6 linked regions of the Oryzias latipes genome follow. The protein of the gene in region 5 interacts with the protein of the main gene of each other region in a pairwise test. Links are inferred from orthologs where the notes say so. Each region holds a gene or a part of one and is shown on either strand. Other genes may lie near its edges. The genes, in order: supt5h, janus kinase and microtubule-interacting protein 2, cnksr1, dab1, pin1 and cep76.

The links.
Region 1: the proteins of pin1 (region 5) and supt5h interact in binary tests that used the Homo sapiens proteins (3 or more experiments, as listed by UniProt). The link is inferred for Oryzias latipes from reciprocal best matches to the Homo sapiens genes PIN1 and SUPT5H.
Region 2: the proteins of pin1 (region 5) and janus kinase and microtubule-interacting protein 2 interact in binary tests that used the Homo sapiens proteins (3 or more experiments, as listed by UniProt). The two-hybrid records come from large-scale screens. The link is inferred for Oryzias latipes from reciprocal best matches to the Homo sapiens genes PIN1 and JAKMIP2.
Region 3: the proteins of pin1 (region 5) and cnksr1 interact in binary tests that used the Homo sapiens proteins (3 or more experiments, as listed by UniProt). The two-hybrid records come from large-scale screens. The link is inferred for Oryzias latipes from reciprocal best matches to the Homo sapiens genes PIN1 and CNKSR1.
Region 4: the proteins of pin1 (region 5) and dab1 interact in binary tests that used the Homo sapiens proteins (3 or more experiments, as listed by UniProt). The two-hybrid records come from large-scale screens. The link is inferred for Oryzias latipes from reciprocal best matches to the Homo sapiens genes PIN1 and DAB1.
Region 6: the proteins of pin1 (region 5) and cep76 interact in binary tests that used the Homo sapiens proteins (3 or more experiments, as listed by UniProt). The two-hybrid records come from large-scale screens. The link is inferred for Oryzias latipes from reciprocal best matches to the Homo sapiens genes PIN1 and CEP76.

The regions. Positions count from the first base shown.
Region 1 is NC_019871.2:949,583-953,190, reverse strand, and holds part of supt5h (transcription elongation factor SPT5), read right to left. Parts: intron 3,291-3,608; coding exon 3,285-3,290; intron 1,779-3,284; coding exon 1,767-1,778; intron 1,683-1,766; coding exon 1,613-1,682; intron 1,026-1,612; coding exon 957-1,025; intron 53-956; coding exon 1-52. UniProt on the Homo sapiens protein: Component of the DRB sensitivity-inducing factor complex (DSIF complex), which regulates mRNA processing and transcription elongation by RNA polymerase II.
Region 2 is NC_019872.2:5,582,720-5,586,327, forward strand, and holds part of janus kinase and microtubule-interacting protein 2, read left to right. Parts: intron 1-23; coding exon 24-266; intron 267-1,320; coding exon 1,321-1,530; intron 1,531-1,682; coding exon 1,683-1,781; intron 1,782-2,354; coding exon 2,355-2,501; intron 2,502-2,568; coding exon 2,569-2,709; intron 2,710-3,608.
Region 3 is NC_019880.2:9,395,382-9,398,989, forward strand, and holds part of cnksr1 (connector enhancer of kinase suppressor of ras 1), read left to right. Parts: intron 1-1,624; coding exon 1,625-1,666; intron 1,667-1,775; coding exon 1,776-1,895; intron 1,896-3,608. UniProt on the Homo sapiens protein: May function as an adapter protein or regulator of Ras signaling pathways.
Region 4 is NC_019862.2:3,573,491-3,577,098, forward strand, and holds part of dab1 (disabled homolog 1), read right to left. Parts: intron 1,001-3,608; coding exon 881-1,000; intron 503-880; coding exon 464-502; intron 119-463; coding exon 56-118; intron 1-55. UniProt on the Homo sapiens protein: Signaling adapter of the reelin-mediated signaling pathway, which regulates the migration and differentiation of postmitotic neurons during brain development.
Region 5 is NC_019859.2:22,494,215-22,498,388, reverse strand, and holds the start of pin1 (peptidyl-prolyl cis-trans isomerase NIMA-interacting 1), read left to right. Parts: upstream 1-1,285; 5' UTR 1,286-1,316; coding exon of another isoform or gene 1,317-1,341; 5' UTR 1,342-1,386; coding exon 1,387-1,444; intron 1,445-2,326; coding exon 2,327-2,409; intron 2,410-3,299; coding exon 3,300-3,408; intron 3,409-3,489; coding exon 3,490-3,600; intron 3,601-4,174. Other genes in the region: ubl5 (ubiquitin-like protein 5), read right to left, coding at 45-82, 180-263, 728-789, 1,089-1,192, 1,317-1,341. UniProt on the Homo sapiens protein: Peptidyl-prolyl cis/trans isomerase (PPIase) that binds to and isomerizes specific phosphorylated Ser/Thr-Pro (pSer/Thr-Pro) motifs.
Region 6 is NC_019874.2:5,541,034-5,544,641, reverse strand, and holds part of cep76 (centrosomal protein of 76 kDa), read right to left. Parts: coding exon 3,496-3,608; intron 3,382-3,495; coding exon 3,199-3,381; intron 1,450-3,198; coding exon 1,352-1,449; intron 1,009-1,351; coding exon 880-1,008; intron 616-879; coding exon 424-615; intron 1-423. UniProt on the Homo sapiens protein: Centrosomal protein involved in regulation of centriole duplication. Required to limit centriole duplication to once per cell cycle by preventing centriole reduplication.

The sequences.
Region 1 (3,608 bases), on a different chromosome or scaffold from region 5:
CAGCTGCTGCTGGGTGATGTCATCAGAAAGCTCCTCGGTGCCGCCATAGTAACTGAACAAAAACAGAGCAGATTTCACTTTGTTGAAACCCAAACTCAGGAAAATCTGGAACAAACTTTTTTTAATCCTAAAAATGAAGACTTGATTTTCTTTAGAACATTGGAATATTTAAAGAACAAAGACTTCAGTTCTCTTTTGGACGTTTGTCCGTAAACTGCAGTCCAGGGTTAGGATTGAAACTATTTCCTCTCTTTGAATGACAGCTCTTTTAAGGTGGTTCTACAGGTGTTTTTAGGTGGTACCTTTGCTTGTTCTTACCGGTGTTGTTATCTTTTATAGCACTTTCCTAAACTGTTGTTGTGTTACATAAATAAAGTAACAGGCTATGTTACTTCCTAATGTCTCTTTCTGAAATATACAGATGTTCTTTAATTCAGTGGTCCCCAACCACCGGGCCGTGGACCAGTCCCAGTCCCAGTCCCAGTCCCAGTCCGTGGGTCACTTGGTACCACAACAAAAAAATAAATATAAAGAATTCCAAATGGTCACATAGACTATTTCTGTTTTGTTAATAATCTGAGTCTGAAGTAAGTTTCATTTTGGAAAAATATGGGATTCTGTCCACAACATCCATCTATGACTTACTCTAGGAGCTCGGCTCGGTCACTTCGGCTACTGCTGCTCTACCGTTAAATTAAAAAAAAGACAAAATGTCTTTGGAAGGAAAAGAGCCAGAGAGGATCTGCTATTCACAGATAAAACCAGGAGTTCTTCCTTGAAATATGGACATTTGTTGTTCCTACGTACCAAATCCATGCAGCATAACATTAGACGAATGGCTATTGTTACACCCAATGCTGATAATAAAGTTATGAAACACAATAGATTCATTTTCTGTTTCTGTCAAAACACGTTTTCTTCTCCCTGCGGTTCCCAGTGAGGCCGTCTTCACTTACTGCTCTCCGGCTGAGGACTTGGCATACTTCCTCATGTAGTATTCTCCCAGCGCCTCTTCTCTGGAGTCCCTGAAACACAGACACAGCGGTCAGCCGCTCAACCACAGGCACATTTTGGGTTCTGGACAGCTGTAGAGATCGATTGATTTGTTTTTTTTCAGGGCCAATGTCGGTTATTAGCATTCAAGAACCATGTTTGGAGCCCACATTTATCTGCAGTAAAAGTGAAAATATTGGGATCAAACTTTAAAACACAAAAAAAAAAAAAAAAGTCAATAAAAAAAAAGCATATAACTAGCTCCAAGAAGTGCAGGGAGTAACGGGCTGAGCAGCATTGTTTATTCGATTTAAACGAAGTTATTAAGTTATTCACTTCAACAAAATGACTTCTCTGTGAAAGTTTGAAACATAACAGAAAGTGCAGGTGGCGTCTTATAAGGTCAAATAAATAAATAAATGTGACTGTTCCATTGTCAGAAATCCCAGTTAAGCTTTCAACAGCAAACCAAGACAAAAGCAAAAACAGACGGTTTTCCTGCTGCTTATTGTTGTGGAGGAATAAAACACAATGTTTTAATCATCCAGAAATCCTCATGCGAGGCCCAATAAACAACAACAAAGGAGGAGCGTCCAAACTAAACAATGAGGCCCGTTACCTCCAGAGGTTCTGCAGCCGTCTGGATCCAGAATGATCATCTTCCAGAACCACGCGGTCCAAGTTGGACACTGAGGAGATGAGGAGCATTTACATGATGAAGAAAACGTGAAACCTCGTTGGATTTTAGGCCAAAACAAAGAAACCGGCCTTACCTTCAGCCTCTTCTGCTCCAGTGAAGAAGAGGAGGGCAGACGGAGGCCAGAGGAAGGAGAACCGACAAAACAACACAATACAGGTGAATGGAGGAAGAGGAGAACATCCAGGATCAGCCAGCAGCAACACAAAGCATGATGGGAAAACAAAGTGAACAATGGTGGCTGCAGCACAGAGAAGCATGGAGACGATGAAGAGCTGGATGTGGGCTGAGAGGACGCCTCAGTAGAAACAAAGCTCTGCTCTTCCTCATCGGTTTAGAGACTTCTCTGCAGTCATAGCAGAGCAGAGTTCATCTTTTACAGGTTTCTGTTCTGGCTTCATTTCTGAGTGCAGATGAGATCCACTGCAGCTCAGAAAAGATCCTTCCTCCACCGATCCACTGGAAACCCTACATGCAGTCCAGCTACAAGGAGAGAAAACGCTTTTTCTGAGGAGGTGATGGAGCTGAGGATGCTGAGGAGAACCAGGAGCTGGAAGGCCTACAACCTGGTTCTGAGTCCAGATGGACTCTTTCCCCACCGAGCTGGTTTCAGTTGAGAGCCAGGACTCAGCTGAAGCTCTTTAGTTTACTCCGCCTGAATTCCAACTCCTGCTTCTCAACCTCGGCACGTTACTGCTGGGGTTGGGGGCGGGGCTACCTGGCTGCAGGAAACAAACGCTTTTAGAAAAACAGCTGGTCCAAGAGGACACCAGAGGTTTCTGTTCTCGCGGTCGTTCTCTTGATAAGCTTCGAGTCAGACAGTCGGTGGAAATTAAACCTAAAAAACAACAGACAACTCGTTCAGTCCCCACTTAAGCTCTGCCCCTTTCTGTCTTGAAACGTCCAATGGCGTAATGACTAGGTTCTGTGGAACAGACGGGTTCTGTGGAAGTACTGAACCCGTGGAACCGGAACCAGCTGAGCAGAAACAGAAGGTTTGTGTTTGGTGGAAGAGGCAGATCTGGCCTCCAACCCTGAAACCAGCTCAGTAGAAATTAAAAACAGGTCACGGCCACGTCTAAACGTTTAGTGGAAAAAACGGCGCCGGATTTCTGATTTCAAACCCCCGAGATAATAAACAGAAGAGCTTTAAATGAGCTGCTTGACTCAGAGCACGGTGGAGAAATCTGAGGAGAACGTTCAGCTGCAGGTTTGCTCTCTGGCTGCAAAATGTCATTGAATAGACATCTGCTGGGTTTTCAAACTGACAACATCTGGAACTTTGATTACTGAAGGCAAAGACTTCCTGACTCCATCGTTCTGTTGAAATGCCCTCTGGCTTCTTCTAAACAGCACAGCCACAATGAGGCGGGTCAGCACCAGGGATGCACGATGACGGACAGCTGTCTTGCCTCACTTCCTGCTGTTGCTCTGACCTCCACCGCACAAACAGATGTTTGCTGGTTTTCTGTTAAACCTTCAGGGCAAACCGTGCATCCCCAGTGAGACCGGTCTGGGACGAGGCTGCTGTCAGATGGGGCGGGGACACACAGATGTTTGGGGTGATGGATGTCAGAGGCAGAATCAGGATTACCGTTAGCTGAGCGCCACCATCATGGCGGCGAGGAACGGCGAGAGACAGAGAAAGTGCAGTCAGAACTCATCGGAGCAGCAAACACACAACATCACATTGCGGTTCTCTTCCTGACTCGGGTCCATTGTGAACCAGAAGTCCTACCAGCCTTTTTTTTAACTCACAAATACTTTTTTTATGAAAGCCACACTTCCTCACGTCCGGAACAACACAAAGTTACACACAACATCAAACTGGCTCCACACATCTTTAAATTCCCAATGAACTGAAATGAGCATAAAGAGGCTGAACGAGGAGGAAACAACTCCAGAAGCAGCAAAACTC
Region 2 (3,608 bases), on a different chromosome or scaffold from region 5:
CACTGTATCTTTCTGCTCTTCAGGTGCGTACCGCACTCACGTTGGAGGCAAAAGAAGAGGCGCGCCGCTTCTTTGACCAGGAAAGAGTGAAGCTCCTGCAGGAGATCGCAGAGCTGAAGTCGTCTAAGAAGCAGACCGACGAGGCGCTCAGCAACATGATCCAGGCAGACAAGATGAAGGCTGGGGACCTGCGGGTGGAGCACCAGCAGCATCAGGAACAGATCTCCAAGATCAAGTGGGACTGTGAGCGGGACATTCGCAGACTGGTATGCACAAAAATGCTTGAAATAAAAACCAATCAATTTGAAACAACTGAACTAAAATGAAAATACACTCTTGATGTGGAATATTCTTGGTGCATTGTCTTAACAGTTGAAAGGCAAAATTCTTATTTAAGATACTTCTAGCAAAAAAAGCTCTATAGGTAAACAATAACGTGGTTAAAAAAAAAGGTAAAAAACTATGATTTCTAGAGGGGCAACCAATCTTGGCTGAACTGTGATTCGTACAGATCAGTAGCCACGATTCGAAACACAACGTGTACGTAAGGGTTAATGGCCGACGTAGTGTGCATTATTACTTTTTAACGCACGCCGTGGAAGGCTGAACCGTCCGACGGATGCTTCCACGAAGTGCGTTAATGGCGAAGGCCATTAACCCGCTCATGCCATGGTCACTTACAAAAGCAATACATATTAACCAGTTTCAAGATTTGGCGATATATATATATATAATGCTGATCTTTCCGATGGGTTGAATAAAGCATCAATTCAGAGAGAAAGTTCACCTCTTACCGCTTGTTTTTTTTCCAAATGATGAAGCAAAGGGTTGTTTCAAAGAAGTGATACAAAACATTGAAGCTAGGTGACCTGAACTTCTTTTTTCACCATGCGGTTATCACTGTGGTATCACTTTTTAATGTACACCCAGCAGCCAATCAGAATCGAGTATTCACCCGGACCATGGTATAACTTGACTTATTTTATTTTTTACTGGTCCTAAAAAGCTGTGAAACAATCCAAACTGAGTTTTATGATCTGTTGCACCCCTAATGAAATTAGTACTAAAAAAATCTAAATAACTTAATTAACAAAATCTCCTGCCTGATTACTAAAAAATTCAAGAAGCAGATTTCTTGTTTCTTTGCCTATGTCATACTTTTATGGCCTATGAGCTGTTAAGACATGTAAATGTTCTGTGGTCTTTGTGCTTATTCTGATTCTGAGAACTGGTTCTAATTTTACTTTGCCGGTTAAATCAAAACGAAGACAAAAACTGGAACATTTGATCTAATGACACCAGTATTTTTGTTCTTTCTAGGTAGATGAAATCAAGGCGAAAGATCGCACCATTTTTGCTCTGGAGAAGGAACTGGAGTCAACGACAGGCTTTCTGCAGAAGCTGCAGCTCCAGAAAGATGCTCTGGATGAACAGCTGTTTATAGCCAAAGAGGCCGAGTGCGGCCTGGGAAGTCCCAAAAGAGAGATTCCAGGCAGAGCTGGAGATGGAGCCGAGCACCACGGCAGCCCTGTACGAACAAAGCCACGCATTTTTGGAGCCAGTCAAACATTCACATTATTTCAAATAAACTATACTAGCCTCTTATTTTAACTACCTTTTGTATGATGTCTGGTCATGCGGTAAACCTGGATGCCTTTTTTTCCCTTTTTAATTCACTTTAGGACTTGAGGAGGAATCAGAGGCGCATTGCTGACCTGAACTCAACCATACGGAGGTTGGAGGACCGCAACTCACTGTTGGGCGATGAGAGAAATGAACTGGTATGACCAAGTTCTACAAATAAAAGTGAAATCTAACCCATTGTTTCAATATTTTTGGCCTTAACCTAACATCAGGGGTGTCCAAGCTTTGTTCAAAGAGGGCCAGATTTGGTGAGGTGAAAATGTGTGAGGCCAACCAATCAGCCTGCATGCTTTGAACATTAAAATATAAATGAACAATTTCACAATTTTTTTTTTCTTGCGCAACGGGATCATTGTCACATCTGGGTTCACATGAAATTTCACATATTATTCTCTATTAAGTACTAAAAATAAATCATGTGAACAGGAAAATAACAAATAGTGATATTAAACTGAAGTACAAACTACTGTAGTTTTGATCAGAGAACAAAAAGAGGCTCTGAAGGTCAGGTTGGTGCCACAGGTTTAAAAACGCAGTTTAGTCAATCACAATCAAGAAATCGTGGTTCTTAGAAAGTGCTGGGGCTGCATATTTATGGCAAAAGCCCAAGGATCCTATTTGGCCCACAAGACGGACTTTGGACAGGCCTTTAGACTACCCATCTTCTGACTCCTGGTCATTCCCTTTTTTTTTATGTCTCTCTCTACTAGCTAAAGCGCGTTCGTGAAACAGAAAAGCAGTGCAAGCCTCTGCTTGAAAAGAACAAACTGCTGAGTAAAAGAAATGACGACTTGACGATGACCATCCAAAAATTGGAGGAGAAGCTGAAGAACCTGACAAAAGAGAATCTGGAAATGGTTCGTACGCTAGCATCCATAACAGATTTATAGATTTTGTGATCTAACATCTTGCATGCTCCTGCAGAAAGAGAGAATGAGCTCCCATCCTCCTCTCAAGAAGCTAAAGTCACTGAATGACTTGGACCAAGCCCACGATGACCAGGAAATCACATTTCTGAAACTTCAAGTCCTGGAACAGCAAAACATGATTGATGAACTTACACGGGTAGGTTTGACTTTAAATGATTCTGATTCTGATTCTGATTCATTTCAGAATCAGAATTTCTGATTCTGATTCTGAAATGACTGGAATTTAATCGCCATTTTCTCCAGCACTTCTGCCAATTTTCAGTGTGACGGAAAATTTAGAGAGACTGGTTTTAGAACCAATTTTGTAACCCTTGTGCTATCCTAGGCACTTTAACATTGGGAGTTGGGTCATTTGGACCCCACTAGACAGTGCGCTGAACTTTTTTAATCAGTGATATGTGATCTTCAGTGGTGTCTATGGATGACATGAAATCCTCTTCACCTTTATCCACCTTTGTCATGGTAGGGAGAACACGTCAATGTAAGGGTGGGGTCATCTAAAATAGCACAAGGGTTAAGTACACCAAGACCCCTCTGTTCAGCTGTTTCTCCCAAGTGTTGTGAGAGCTTTTTCCTCACATTGTGAATGAATTTCACTGTATTTTATCACAATAAAGAAGATACTATTATCAGTAATAAATTTTCATGGCTCTTCTAGTAAAACAACGGGGAAGACATCAAAATTGCTTGTTTTTTTAATTTATAGTCTTAAACAGGAAGAAACAAGTTCCATGAGCCACACAAACTAATACTGAAAGGGCGGTGCTTGCCCAAAGCGAGTGCTGTCCTTCCTTTAGGCCCTGTTTAAAGAGAAGACCGTACTTAACATTGTTCACAAAAACAAGTGTAATCGAGTTCTAGCAATTATCTCATTCAGTCTTTTTGACATAAGAGAAAAAAATTTCGTTTACAGCCATTTGTTGACTGACTTATTGACAAAGCATGTTTGCATGTTAAGGCATAAAAGCAGATCATCATCATCAGAGTGTCTTCTCCCTTCCCAGAAAACTTTTGTTCTGAGAAAAACAAGCAGAT
Region 3 (3,608 bases), on a different chromosome or scaffold from region 5:
TCTTATGTTTCCTCCTCCACATTTCTTAGTCTTCTACTACCATACTCCCTACTCATCCCAGAAACAGCACCAACAACTTCCCAAACGCAAACATATTTAGTTCTGCCTTAGTGATTCTAGTAACTGTGTCATTGTGTGTCATCATATATCTCTTGAGCATTAGCTTGGGCATGAGTGTGTGTTTGTGGAATAAGTGTGTGTACACAGGCATTGGTGCGGTTCGTTGGATTTGCCAGTCATCCCATAGAATTACAAGGGATGTGATGTTGTTTCACAAACCTCCAAGGATTCCTTTTGTTTGTGTTTGAATCACCCTCATCACATGGGATTTTCATTTAGTCACAATTTATAAAAGCCCGTTTTAATGAATTAATAACAAAGCTACGAAGGCCTAATTAGCATATTTAGACCTCATATTGCCTTTGGCATGGTTTAAACATGCTCATTAAAGAGCCACTCTGATGAAAATTGTGTTTGTGGTGTTTTTTTAACTTGGTCTTGAAGCATTTTTCTGATGATGGAGGGAAGAAAATTAAGCTTAAAATTGCATTTCTAAGTATTTCTTTATTCAAATCTTTGTGAATCAGGAGGTAATACTGTTTGAAAAAGTTTGTAGCAGTGATGTAGAAGCTACTACGGAAGCTCTGGCTCAAAATTGCACACTGGATGTCTGCAATATTTCTCATCATTTTTACTGCACCGTTAATGTTAGGTTTGGGGGTGGGTGAGGGACTATAAGCTAGCGGGAGAGCGTGTAAACAGAGGGATGATGGGAAGTGGGTGCAGGCTTGCACCTTGGCAACAGTGCCACCCACAACACAAAAGTTTCTAATGAACGTCTGCCGCTCTGCAGAAACTATGTTGTAGAAAACAACACAGCTTATTTGATTTTGGCAAAAAATGGGATAATCATAATTAAAAGACCACAGGGAAACGCTTTGAAAATGGATTACGGTAATAGATTTCCAACTCAAACTAACTCTGTTACTAAACTTTTTCCTAAAAATCAAATAATGTAGAATACCACAAACCAACAAAAAGTGGACAACAGAACACATTTCTGAAATGTTTCTGTTACACTGATGTTATCTTAGGTCCTACCAGGGTTTCTGTAATTCAGACAAATTTAAAAATATGTTCTGGGAAAGTGGCAAAAAATGTGCTGCATGACTGCATGGTGGTTTCAGATTCAGTTTCATCTAAAGCAGCATTGTCGCATCATTAGTGAAGAAATAATTCAAAGTATTATGTTTATGTAACGATGTGCCATACGTTTTGACAATAATGTCAATCATTTTACCAGAAGCATGAATTTGAAAAAAATCTGAATATGTCTGGCCGTTTTAATGCTGATTTTAAATTTACATATATATAAGAAGCAGAGATGGTTTACTTCTTCAAAGGACCACAAAAGTCCCAGTTAATATCTGGAATTGCCCTCTCTTTGCCTGCGGGCACTTGTGGCTTTGTACTTCCTGTCTCATGCTGTAAAGAGGAAATATGACACTGGCTTTAAGTCAGATTGCCCCATTTCCACAAATCAATACATTTGTTCATAGGCTGGGTTGTTGTCGTTGTTTTTTCTTTTTCTTTGGTCACACTTTCATGTTCTATTTTTAAATAGGACACCACAGTCCACGAAAAGGAAAAAGACATCATCCCTGTGGTGAGGTTGCTTCTAATTTGCATTATTATCTACCTCTGCCTCCTATCAACCTCTGCTGCTAAATAATTTCAACCTTTTATAAAAGACAGATTGTGCTTTTGTCTCATAGTGCCGTCAACTGGTGGCGTTTTGTGATGAGATCCTGAACTCCTGCCCTGAAGCTCTTCTCGCCCAGTCAGCTCAGCTGGAGAGCGTGGACTTGGTTCTCGTGTCGCCTGGTGATCAGCTGGTAAAAACGCCTTCATAAATGACCCTTTTGTTTAGAGTCTCCATGAAAGCAAAAAAGAAGATAGAGATTCTTAAAAGCTGCTGATATTCCTAGCTGCATTTTATTCAATAGGATCACTACTTTTAGAAATTGTTATTTTATCCAGTAAATAAAAGAAGAAAAAATGAGAATATTTCACAAAAATATCTAAGATTTAACACAAGTTTCTAACCTTTTGGGTGCTTCTGTTTTTTTTAATTTCTTTTTACTATTTTGTCTTCTTTTTTCTTAGCCGCTTTACTCCGAATCTTCTTCAGCATTTCTCTCTGCTTCCATCACTCCTGCTGCCTTTATCATTTTCTTCCATTCAGAGCTTCCATCGCCTAAATCAAGGTTCTCTGTGTTCTTCTTTTATGCCTCCTCCTGACTCGTTATCCACTGAATAGGATGTGCCTTTTTGTGCTGCTTCTTCTCATTTTGCTTTCAAGTTCGCACATTCTGTTCTATAATTATAGCTTTCTTCCTACCCTATCCACTGTTTCTTTCAGTATTTAGCACTAAGGACCAGTTTCCCTCTATACAATGTGTTCAGTTTTTGTTTGCTCTGTCCATTAAGGGAAATCTTATGTTAAAAGGCAGGTCCATGTGATCACTCTCGCCACACTTTGATGCATAAAGATAGCTTTCGTTTGTGCCTCTGTGAATACCTGTCAAAGGTTTTCAAGGACAGGCTTTGTAGCTAAATAAATAAATCTCAAATTAATCGTTATCGTTATCGCAATATCAAGCTGTGCAATACGCATATCGCAAAAGATGGCTAAAATTGCGATAAATTGTTACTTTAAATGTGCTAAAAAAATTCTTATGGCAGTTTGAAGTATTTAACGAATCAAATATATCCAATATATCCATTTGACCAATCAGATGGACACCTTCACATTGTTGACCAATCAGATGGAACCCTTTTATGTCAGATGCTCACCTCCTACGTAGACAAGGGTCATTTAGAGTATAATTTAATTCAAATTCAAATTAATTTTATTTATATAGCACCTTTCATGTAAAAAAAAAAAAACAGCTCAAGGTGCTGTACATAAAAACAAACAAGAATGCAGAAAACACCAATCCCCATTCATGCAATAAAATAATTAAATAAGTAAAAGAGAAATGACTAAAGAAAAAAGCTAAAAAAGAGAGAACCCAGAAGGCGCCGTCTGCCCTGTCCTCCTGTTGGTCGGGGTGACAGATAGACACAAACACCCCAGCTAACACTCGTAAACACTCTAACTTGGCTAAGAGACATTAAACAAATAAATTTGTTAAAATATCGTAAAATAAAAGTAAAAATTCTAGATTAAACAAATATGTATGTGATGAAATATCATAAAATGGAGTAAAAGTTCTACATTAAACAAATAAAACAAAATGATGTGATAAAACATCATAAAACATAAGGGTTAAAAAAAAAACGATAATTGGTACGTTGACTCTTATTTAAATTAAACTGTTGTAGTGAAATGGAAATAATGTTTTTGGTTGCAGTGCTATTTGTTCGTGCATCACAAGTTTTATCGTCATCGCAGTATTGATCATTAATATCCCTAATTGTGAATTTTCCTCATATCAAGCATCCCTAATTAAAAGGGAATTTTAAAGAAAACAGCCCGATTTTCTTATCATTACTTTCTGTGAATTCTTAACAAGTTATAGCAGAAACTAAAGAAAGAGGAAGTG
Region 4 (3,608 bases), on a different chromosome or scaffold from region 5:
TGTGAGGCGACAGCCATTTTAAAGCAGAAACAACACAGGAAGAGCTTGTGAGTACCTGATATATGCTTTCCTCTGATTGGTCATGGATGGGCTCGTGTCCCGCCTCAAACACAATGTACTACAACATCAGCAGCAGAGGGGGGAGGGAGGGCAAAAACAAAAAAAGAATCGCAGAAGAAGAGTTGCAAGATGAGAAATTGAGAGAAAAGTGGTGAAACTGCAAAGGTGGTTAGTCAAACAGTTTTCTGACATTTGAAATAGTTGAAGAAAAGTCCTCTGTGAGACAAGGACGGCTTACATGGAAATCACAGGAAACCTTCTATACTCATGCACACACAGCCACGCACAGTACTAAGTGTTGTACTACCGAACACAAACAGGATCTGTCTCCCCACAGTGCACACAGAGGAACAAGCTGAAGTGCAGCAGGTGAGAGCAGCAACGTGATTGGACAGGAAGTTACCTGGTAGACAGGGTCCTCCAGATCCTCCTCCAGGATTGTCTGCATAAGAGCGGCGGCAGGAAAGAGCAGGAGAGATCAAATGGGAGGAGAGAAGACAGAAGAAAGGGAAGAGGCAGAGAGTTAAGCCGGTGGAACAGGAAAAGGAGGAAGGAAAGCGCAGGAAGCCTTCCCTGCACTCAGGTAATCATTTGGCGATCATCAGCAGAGGAAAGAGACGTTCACAGGGAGGAGGGCAGAACAGAGGAAAAGAAAATAAGCTATGTGTACGGAGGATTTGTGAAAGCAGCGGCTCCTCGTGTCCTTCTTTTATCTTGTTTTGCTCTTCACTCAAGAGTCTATTGGAAGGAACCCATTGTGTTCATGAGGCCTGGTTCATAAAGTGGTTTGAATACAACAAGAGAGGGCTTGATGGAGTACCTGGTAGACCGCCTGCTCACACTGCTTATCTTTCTGAGCCTTCTTCTCCATCTCCTCCCTCTGCTTTATGTCATAGATGAGCTGAAATAAGTCCCGCAGGTCCAGAATCACAGGCTCCGCCTACAAAAAGACAAGAACGCAGTAAAGCAGGACTTTATCCACTCAACTGAACTGAACCTTGCACTCCCCCACCTTGGAACTTAGTGTAATAAAGGCCAACTGTTGGCAGACACACCCACACACACAAGAAAGGTTAACACTCCCCCACAGCAATGTAAAAATCACAGAAACACAATGTTCAATCATCTTATTTTTCCATCAACACGCTGGATTGATGAGTGATGAGGAAGAATCGCGTCCCGTCTGATGCTCGAGTGGATGTTTTGTGCTTTGCTTTAAAGCCATTTACTGATTGAATTTGCTTATTTCAAGATGATTGGTGACCTTCAAACGCTTGGCTGTGTGCAATTTTGATGTACACGCTGGTTTGCTCTGTTGCTTTTTCTCCTTATTCTCTACATAAATATGCTTTTTCAGATGTAAAAGGAGTTCTGTGGTTGTGACTGCATGATAAAATAATCTACCACCTTTTTTCCTTTTAAGCTAGAAATAATATGAATAATAGTGAAACTGGCAGAGTAAAGTAAAGAAGCATTGATATCTTTGTGTAGTGATTCTCTCGACCCTTTAGAAAAGACTTCGATGAACCGTCAGCTTTATACTGTCAGGACAAAGTTTCTGACTGAAAAGTCGAAGATGAATCCAGATAAGAAACACTTGACACATTAGATAAAGTTCACCTTAAGAATAAACCTCACAAACATCTGCTGATAAATGACTGAACTGAGCTAAATCAGGCCTGAACGTTTCTCCAGGGAACTTTGGAGGATTTGCTCAAATACATTAGACGCAGACATGCAATGTGCTTGTTCCAAATCCTTCATAACAGGCAGCAAAGCCCCTCAGCAGATAGCTGTCTGAGCTGCAGTGAATCATTTCAGAAAATGAAAGTTTCAGACTGTGTCAAATGAGTGTTGCCGTCAAACGGTAGCGACCTGAGGTTAAAGAAGGCCACACCATGACAGCAAAGAGGCTCTGCGGCATGTCTGCACAAACTGCCTTCTATGGATACGATTTTCACATTAACATAAGAAGATATTAGTCTCTCTTCTTACCTTGCTAGAGAAGCAAATGCTATTGGAAGCAACCACTTGTTCACAAAACCGCTGCCACAGCACAAAGACAAGGAGACTACTGGTGCAGCAATGATCGACCTAATCAATTATTGACTTGAGCTGTGCGGGGACCTGACTGAGTTCATGGATAGATTGCTGCATTGCATGAAGTAGTTTTGTTTCAGAATCTCTGAGATTCTCAGCTGTGAGTCAGTCATGACACATGCTGTGGATCTGTCTCCCTGAACCAACAACTTTGTACACATTTGTCTGATTCAAGGCTGGAGGGACATGAGAGCACCGTCAAACACCACAAGCACATGCACAATCAACCGTGTCACAGTTACAGCAAGGTGTGAGGAACACCAACAGCTACACAACGTAGTGTTGCATCTGCCTTTCTGTTTTTAGACTAGATTTGACCACGCTGGAAAACGTCACAGTAGCTATGAGAGATTCAGAAGAGATAAGAAAAGGAATAAGACTTTCCAGGAGGTTGGTATGAGGTTTTTATGAAAACCTTTTCTTGCTGGTGTAATTGATGTAATGCACATGTGTCAAACTCAAGGCCCGGGGGCCACATGTGGGCCGCCATGTTATTCTATGTGGCCCGCAAGAGCATAAAAATGTTTAATTTATTAAAATAAAATTTTCTTTAGTTGATTACATATTATTTATTTGTTGCTTCTGATGTAATTATTCAATGTTTGCATGTCTTATGTGTGTATGCAGACAAATTGTTGTCATCAAACCATCAGTTGGATGCAAGGCTGTGTGCAGCCTTTTTTTTTGTAAAATGTTACACGTGTAACACATGCTTTTTCTAGCTCAGTTTTATCTTATTATTATTTATTCACTTGGATAGTTTGATCCTTTTCTATGCAACTGTAATTCTCACTTTAAAACGTTATGATAAATAAATAGTTATTTAACATTAAGGAGTAGTTACATTTGTTTTTCATTACATTTAGTTTCATGTATAAGTTATATCTGGCCCTTTGAGGACAGACACTATGCTGATGAGGCCCTCTGTGAAAATGAGTTGGACACCCCTGATGTAATGTAATGGATGTGCCTTACTACCATTTAAACATTCACATGTCTTATTTTATGTACACTTCTGTTTGATTCTACTCAATCTATGGTGTTCCAAAGGTAGCATGCATCAATTCTTCAACAGTTGCATCAACTGGAATTTTATTTTTTAGTCTTTTGTTTTTTTTTAAGTTGTTTTTTTGGGGGAAAAAGAGAAACATCTGAAGTGCATCAATCAAACACCACTAGACACATCGTTTTCTGCATCTAAAGGAATTCTTTTTGAGTTTCTTTCTGTTTCTGAGCTGAACTTTTGTTTCTTATTTCTGCATTTGATCCCCATAAGCTGTGCCTAGCAGACAGCTACTCTTCTCGGGGTCCTTCAAAAGAAATACGCCATACGTACAGCAAAAAAATTCATCTAAAACATCAATTCCACTTTATGGTAATCTTGAAGATACATAATGTAAACACATAAAATTCCCATTTTAAATATCATAGAAAAGGAGGGCCTTTAC
Region 5 (4,174 bases):
TGCATCAGCTTAGTAAAGGTCAAGTCAGTGCGTCAAAAGGATACAGTCACCGAGAGACACGTGATCCTTGAAGATGGTGTACCTATTAAAACAAGAACACATTTTCTAAGTAAAGAAGCCAAAAAGGGCAATGTTCATTGTGATGCAAAGAAGAAAAAGGCAAAGGAAGGCAAAGTTACCATTTCTTTAGTACAATTTTGTCATATCTTGTTCCCGTCTGTGCTGCAATTAGTTTCTTCAGGTCTCCAATTGTGTCCTCTGAGCTGTGCAAGGATGTTGAGGAGCAATTTGGTGACGTGGAAAACCCTTCAAAACAAACACTTCCAGCTTTCATGTCCTGAATGTTTTCAGTCTTTAGATTTTAAATAGAGCTGCATGATGGTGCAATGGGGAAGGCCCTGGTTCCAAACCCTGCTGGGACCCTTCTGTGTGGAGTTTGCTTGTTGCAGAGAAACCCCATGCACTCCGGCTTCCTCCCACAGTCGAAAATACATGATTCATAGGTTACCTGGTTATTCTAATGTAGGCCCAAATGGTTATTCTAATGAACCCCAAATGGGTTCATAAGGAAAGGGTCCATCCATAGCACGGTTACTGTGCTATGGATGGACCATAGCACAGTAACCCCCCCCCCCCTTAACTAATCAGAACCAGCATGTTGCAGTGCAGTATTAACAGCCAAAACATCTTTAGCAGATCAGCAAATCAAATGTGTTCAGAAGGATACTTGCACTTGACCCGGACTTTCTTCCCAAGACGATCGTTGCAAATCACCTCAATCATCGTGTACTGTGAAAAAAAGAGGAGCTAGTAAGCTGAAATATTGGAGTTATGAACAGGAACGACATTAATCGTTCACACCACTAACATTAAGTCAAAAGAATGTGTAATTCATTTTGCGTCAACAGCAGAAACTAAATTGACGATGAAATTCGACCAGCCATGATTTTTTTAGCTAACCCGTTAGCTTGTGCACACAACTCTTTTAAATATATAAAACATAAATTAGATGGCGCCTATTAAGATCAACTTAAGGTTTCAAAAATGTTGCCAGACGTGTTAAAAAGATCAAAAAGTGTAAAACATACGTTAAATGTAGCCCAAGATTGATGGATTTTCTTCACTAGTTGAAACCTTCTGGAAAGCTCTCGGTGCTCATCACCGTAGAATCGATGTCGCGTGTTATTGTCCTCTTAACCAATTAGATAGTAAGAAATATGATTGACAAGAGTTGAAGACCAATAGTAGGACGGACAAGCCGTTTGGGGGCGGGCCAAACTCAGAAAACAACTTTTGCCGTAAACCGACTGTCGTACCTGCTGAGCCGTAGCCGTGTCGCATCGTTTGAACGTTGAATTCTAACTTGATAACGTTGCAGCAGATAACATGGCAGACGAGGAGAATTTACCGTCGGGATGGGAGAAAAGAATGAGCCGTAGTTCAGGTAAATATACATAAGACGGGGGAGGCTGAATGTATGAGCTCAACTGCAGCCCACGAGAAGTTGATTTAGCTTATAGCTAGCCCGTGCATCGTGGTAAGCGAGGCTTTGTGAACTTGTTTCAGGTGAGGCTGTCCTGCTAATGCATGCATCGGGGTTACCGACACGGTTTCTATCAGGAAAAGTGCCGCTGGGAAAATACGGTTATGCTACGGTTTGCTTTATAACTAGCTTTTCCCCCACTTTTTTTTCTAATGGAGATGTTCTGCAGGGCCGCCGTTGCATGACGTCACCTGGAATTTGCGCAGACGCAGCTTAGACCTGATGTCTTGAAAGTATTTTGTGAATATATACGCACAGTAAAACTGACAATTTGGGGAATATTTTGTAAACAAGATCACTTTACATTTTTTTCATATATAGGTAATTATTTAACTTTGAGAAATCTACTAAACTTTCAGATCCCCCCCAAAATGTGATTTATTTCTGCAGATACGTCTGTTTATCTGATTTCTCTTCTTCTTTTACAGAAAATCTGTTTGGGTAGATGATTGCCTTGTAAAAACTTTAGGTGTTTTTTTTTCTGTTTTATTTGTGTGTTTCTTTTCAATGGAGTAAAAAGGAAGGATTGCAAAGGAACAGCTTTTTGCAGACCTATAAACTAAATTGAACACTGTCAGCAGTTGATGCATTGGTTTTATTCAAAACCATGCAACTTCATGACCAACTACTATGAAACAACAATAATACCGATACGGGGAATTGTGAGTGCTTTTGCAGTTTTAGTGGGTAAGGTCATGTAAACTGTAATTTGATTTTTGTGTCTTCTAATGTCTTGGATCATTCCAAAGGTGCTGATCAAACTGCTTTCTTTGCTGTTTGTAGGCAAGGTGTACTACTTTAACCACATCACTAATGCCAGCCAGTGGGAACGTCCTGTGGGAGATGGCCGTGGAGAGCCAGATAAGGTGGACTTCATTTTGTGTGTTTTATTAGCAATACATTTAGGATTGAAATCATAATAAATTCACTAAAGAAGTATTTGTAGAGCTTGTGATAGTGATGTACCGGTAATGATTAGTTTTAATGACATTCATATTAGGGCTGCACCATATGAGGAAAACTCGCCATATTAGTGATCAATATTGCGACGACGATAAAACATTCATGAACAAATAGCAAAACGACTAAAAACATCATTTCCATTTTACTGCAACAGTTTAATTTAAATAAGAGTCAACATAACTTAAATTATACTCCAAATGACCCTCGTCTACATAGGAGGCGAACGTCTAACCTAAGAAAAGCTTCAAAATAAATAAATAAAAGAGCCCCATCTGATTGGTCAATTTATTTGATTCGTTAAATACTCCAATATTTGTTTTAGCACATTTAAAGTAAACATTTATTGCTATTTTTGACGACTTTTGCAATATGCGAATTGCACAGCTTGAAATTGCGATAATGATACATTTGCGTTTTGTTGTGCAGGTCTAATTCATATGATCACTTGTGGTTTCCAGTACGATTTTATGGTCAATATTGGTTCAATCTAACTAACACTTGGTTGTTATTATGTTATAGTAAAGTAAACCGTCCCTTAAGCCAAATGGTATTTCCCGATATGGAAATAATATATTTATTTTAATTTGAAACAGTTTTATAATGTAATAGATCGATTCAATTAACAAATGCCTCAGACAGATTGTTCTGCTTGGATCGTAGGAATATAAATCGATTGATTGATCAGGTCAATTAGTCATTACACCCCTGCACAGAAACATTTTATAACACTTTCTAACAAATAGGTGATGATGTATTGTGTATCTTTTTGTGTTTCCTCCTTTCTCTCTCTCAGGTGCGATGCTCCCACCTCCTAGTAAAACATAATCAGTCTCGACGTCCTTCTTCCTGGAGGGAACAAAATATAACACGAACTAAAGAAGAGGCTATAGAGCTTATTCAGAGTAAGTAAGGCAGAGGACAGAAACACCAGATCTGTTTCAAATCTCTACTTAATCTGTCTTTTTTTTGGTTCTGTTTTCTAGAGTACATAGACGAAATCAAATCTGGGCATGAGTCTTTTGAATCTCTAGCCTCTCAGTTCAGCGACTGCAGCTCAGCTAAGAACGGTGGAGATCTGGGACTGTTTGCCAGAGGTACCAACATCATAATGGGAATATTGGGTTTTCTTAGTTTTAGTTCTTCAGCTTTTATGTAGTTATAAGGTAGTATTGTCCTAATATTTACAGTTTTTTAAGTAAAAATGCTTTCTAATTTTAGTTAAAAAATGCTTAATAATTAACTCTGTTTATAAGGTTTCCTCTCCAGCAAAAGCCTCATAAACTTTTTTACTCTGTCTATTTGTTGGTCTCTCAACATTGCTTTGTTGCATTTGCCAGGACAATTCTTATCACTTACTCTGGCACGGGTTGTCTTTTCTGTTGAATCAACCCACAAATGCCAAACTGAAGAGAAATTACACATAATGCTTATATTATACGTATTAGAAAACATGCAATTTAGTTTTAGTCTTCCTAAAATACCCAATTTAGTCTAAGTTGGCTTACGTCTGCATGTTTGCATTCATGATCTACATTTAACTCAAACCTCATCACCCACCTGATTAAAAAAAAAAGATAATGACTAGTAGCACTAACAACTGTAAAGTTTATTAAACATAACAATGTGTCTACCGTATTTTCCGGACTATAAGTCGCCCTTTTTTTCATA
Region 6 (3,608 bases), on a different chromosome or scaffold from region 5:
CAACAGGTCACTGTAAGGATGAGCTGCACAGCGGCCAAGTCTACCAACACCCAGAACTTATAGCAGACTTGAGTCTGAACTTCATCAGCCTGCTGATGGAAAGATTCATCAAAACCTGCAACTTGATGTTACCGTTTAAGCCCAAAAGAAAGTGCAGGTATATTGAGGTCCCAAATGCCTCTTTTGTGCATATCCTGGACTAAAGTCAACCTGAAACCCATTGGAATGAAGTGAGAGACTGGCCTCAGTTACAGGATGATAAAGCCACAGGTTGGGGGAGCTCATGTATGAAAAAGGCAGAAAAGGAAAGGTTTGAAGAAACATGGAAACAAACTTTGATGCTATTGCCACAGACCAGAAAACATCAACAGCGTCTGAAAGTCAGACCATCTGTGTTGTGGATGTTCAGCAGCAGACACCCACCTTTCCTCGACACAGAAAAGCCATCAACGTGCACCACTGCTCCTGCTTGCCCGTTCCTCCTCCAAGCATCGGAGCCCTCTCGTGGGCCAGCAGGCTGACGAAGCGGGCAGCGTGGCGCGAGCTCTCCAGGAGGCGGCCAGCCCGGAGGACACGCACATAAGAGCAGACGGGTCGGTTTACGCCGTTCTCGTCCTGCAGACACACAACAGAAGCATAGGGCTAAACGTTCTGGAAAAGAACTGAAGCAAACAGAACATAAAAAGCAGCAGATATCGGTAATTTCTAGAATCATGCATCATGATTTGAACCAATCTCCTCCCCAAAAAAATGTTTCCAGATACAAAAGGAAGTCTGATGATGATCTGATGATCACAGCAAGTGAATTATCAGTTAATGACATTGCAGCTGTAATTTTTTTTTAATAACATCTTTTTTTTAAAATATCTCAGAACTAACCTGTGCAAATATTTTGACCAGCTTGGACTGATGAGACGCCCGAATCTCCAGGAACTCTCGCCACCATTGTTTAGCATAAACCAAGAAGAGCCTGTCCTTCTCTGCCGTCCTCGTCCTCTCCAGTGACTGCTGCAGGACAATCACACACGGGTCACAGAAACACAATACCTTCCAGCTTCTTTTGGTTGATACAAATATCCGATATTTAAACCTTTGTTTTGATTTATTGAAGAGAAACACCAGAATAAACCAACAAAAAGCAAACACTTCTACATCAGGACTTGGCAAAAAAAACATTAAACAAAATGAGAGAGCGAGTCGTTTAAATAAACTCCATTTATTCTTCTGGCTTCCAGCAGTTTCTATCCCGTCAGGGTTTTCACTAAGTTACTTTAGGGTGCCTTCATTAAGAATCAGAGTTTGGTGATTCAACGGATGGTTTCAGAAACTTGATTTCAGAAATGCTGCTGACCTGTGTGCTGATGACATCTGCACTTAGATTCACAGCTGGAGGAGGGTACAGCTCCAGGTTGACTGTCAGAACACCAGCTGGCACTTTGCATTCACTTCCTGTGGTTCAAGAAATTATTAGTACAGCATAAGCGTTTATAAGACAAAAAAAAAACTTGTTTTACTTTTGGAATCTACTTGAAGAAAGATCCCCTCCTCCACCTTTTAAGGTTTCTTTTTACCGCGTGTTTAAGCATCTCTGGTTCAAAATCCAAATATAAATACAAGAAAAATGTCACTTTAAAACATCCATAAAAAGGCAGACGTATGCATTTGACTGGTGCTATAATCTACGGATGTGTATTGCCAAGAGTCTGATCATACTATACGTATCCCGACGTTCTACCAGAACACTTCTTTTTTATTTTTATTTTTTTTGGGGGTATCACTTAGAAAAAACTACCTGAATATTAATGTCTTCCATAGTGATGAAATGGTAAAAATCCATTTTATTTAATGATCACAATGTTAAGCACTGCAACTGTATCTCAAATTCACACTGCTTTTGTTTTGGTAAGTTAAAATATAGAAAAGGAACAGTATACTTTGTCTGATTTCCACAAAAAAATATATTTCAGTATAAGAAAAAAAAAAGAATGAATGTGCCTTAACTAATAAGGTTCTAAAAGTATGATTGACGAAATAAAGTGATGTTTATTTCCAATATTGGTAAATGTAGCTTCTCCAGTACTTTTCAATGGTTTAGGAGCCTGAACGGTGCTTCAAGAATAAAGGGGAAAAACATCAATAAAGTGTTATGATGATGATGCAGCAGCATGACAGATGAAGGAGATGCTTTCATGTGGCAAAGATGCTTTATTTCCATGACAGTCTGCTCTGCAGCTGCAGCTCAGCTTTCTCGCACACCATCGCCATGACGTTGGCCTTGTTTCAGAGCGTTGTACACATCACTCTGATCCATCAGGTCGCTGGACTACAATCTATTGCTGGGAGGTTCTGCAGAACTTTAACCCGCTTTGCTGAGAGTGTTTTGACTGATGCTCCGTGCATTAGTCTCTGCACAGCCTGGGCCTGGTTAACTGTACAATGACACTTGGTCATCCAAGTTATTAAAAACAACCTTTTCTGTTTATCCATTTTTTTAAACCAAAATTGGCCCCCAGTCTAATGCAGAGTTCTTCATTTGGCCCTCCGCTACAAAAACTTTGAGAAACCCTGGTTTAAAGGGTCTGTATCCAGCAGAATCAACTTTTTAAGCTTTTAAATGTATAATAATGTTCATTCCTCACAAAAAACAACCCCAAAGCAGTATTGTGATCCGTTCACACATCTCTGAGTATTCCTCTAAAAACCTGCGTTCTGAGCCCCAGCCCCTCCCAATCCACAAAAATGGGTGGACCCTCACATTGCAGCATTACAAAGTGAGGAACAGCCCCTTCCAGGAAGAGTCTGCGGTGCCAACCCACCCCCACGCTAACACACACACCCTCATTCAGCAGCTAGCAGAGCTTGGAGATCTGGAAAACAGACAGGGTGGTAGAGCTAAAGGACCAGGAATGAGCAGCCCTGCTCCACAATATGAACATCCATCTTTGCAAAAGTTCAGATGTTGTTTGTTTTTGTGGGTGAAAGGCAGACATGCTGCCGAGGATGATGTCATGAAATGGGCGGCACCCACAAGGACAGAAAGGCGGAGCCGCAGAGATCGAGACGTTTTACTTCCAGGTAGGAAAATGACCTACAAAATTAACTCATTTAAAAATAAATTCATTCTTTAGTGTGCCAAAGGTAATATATTATTTAAAAGTAGGGGTTGCTTATCCGACCATAACAATCAGGGTGGCTTACCAACTCCCATTAACTCCACAGCAAAACAAGTCTTGCTGTTTGTTGAGCTGAGAACTGGCCTCCAATCCAGGAAATAGGACGACACCAGCGTCGTCTCACCAGAAATGTCCGTCTTGATCAGGACAAAGTGGATAGGGTCGCATATAGACAGCATAGAGGCTGCATCCATCACTTTACCTCCATCTTTAACAAGAAAAGAAGTCATGATTAGGTTCAAGGAGGAGATGTATTTTTTAAGCCTGGAACCTAAGTTCAAGCTCATCTTCACTAACCTCTAAACAGTTACTTTCCTCCTACCTGCATTGTCCCTGCAGAGTTCCAGGAGGAAGTTTTCCCTCATGTCTGGTTCACAGGTACAGGGCACAGGCTTAGATCCAAACCTCTGGTCGCGGAAATGTAGGTAGAGTGTA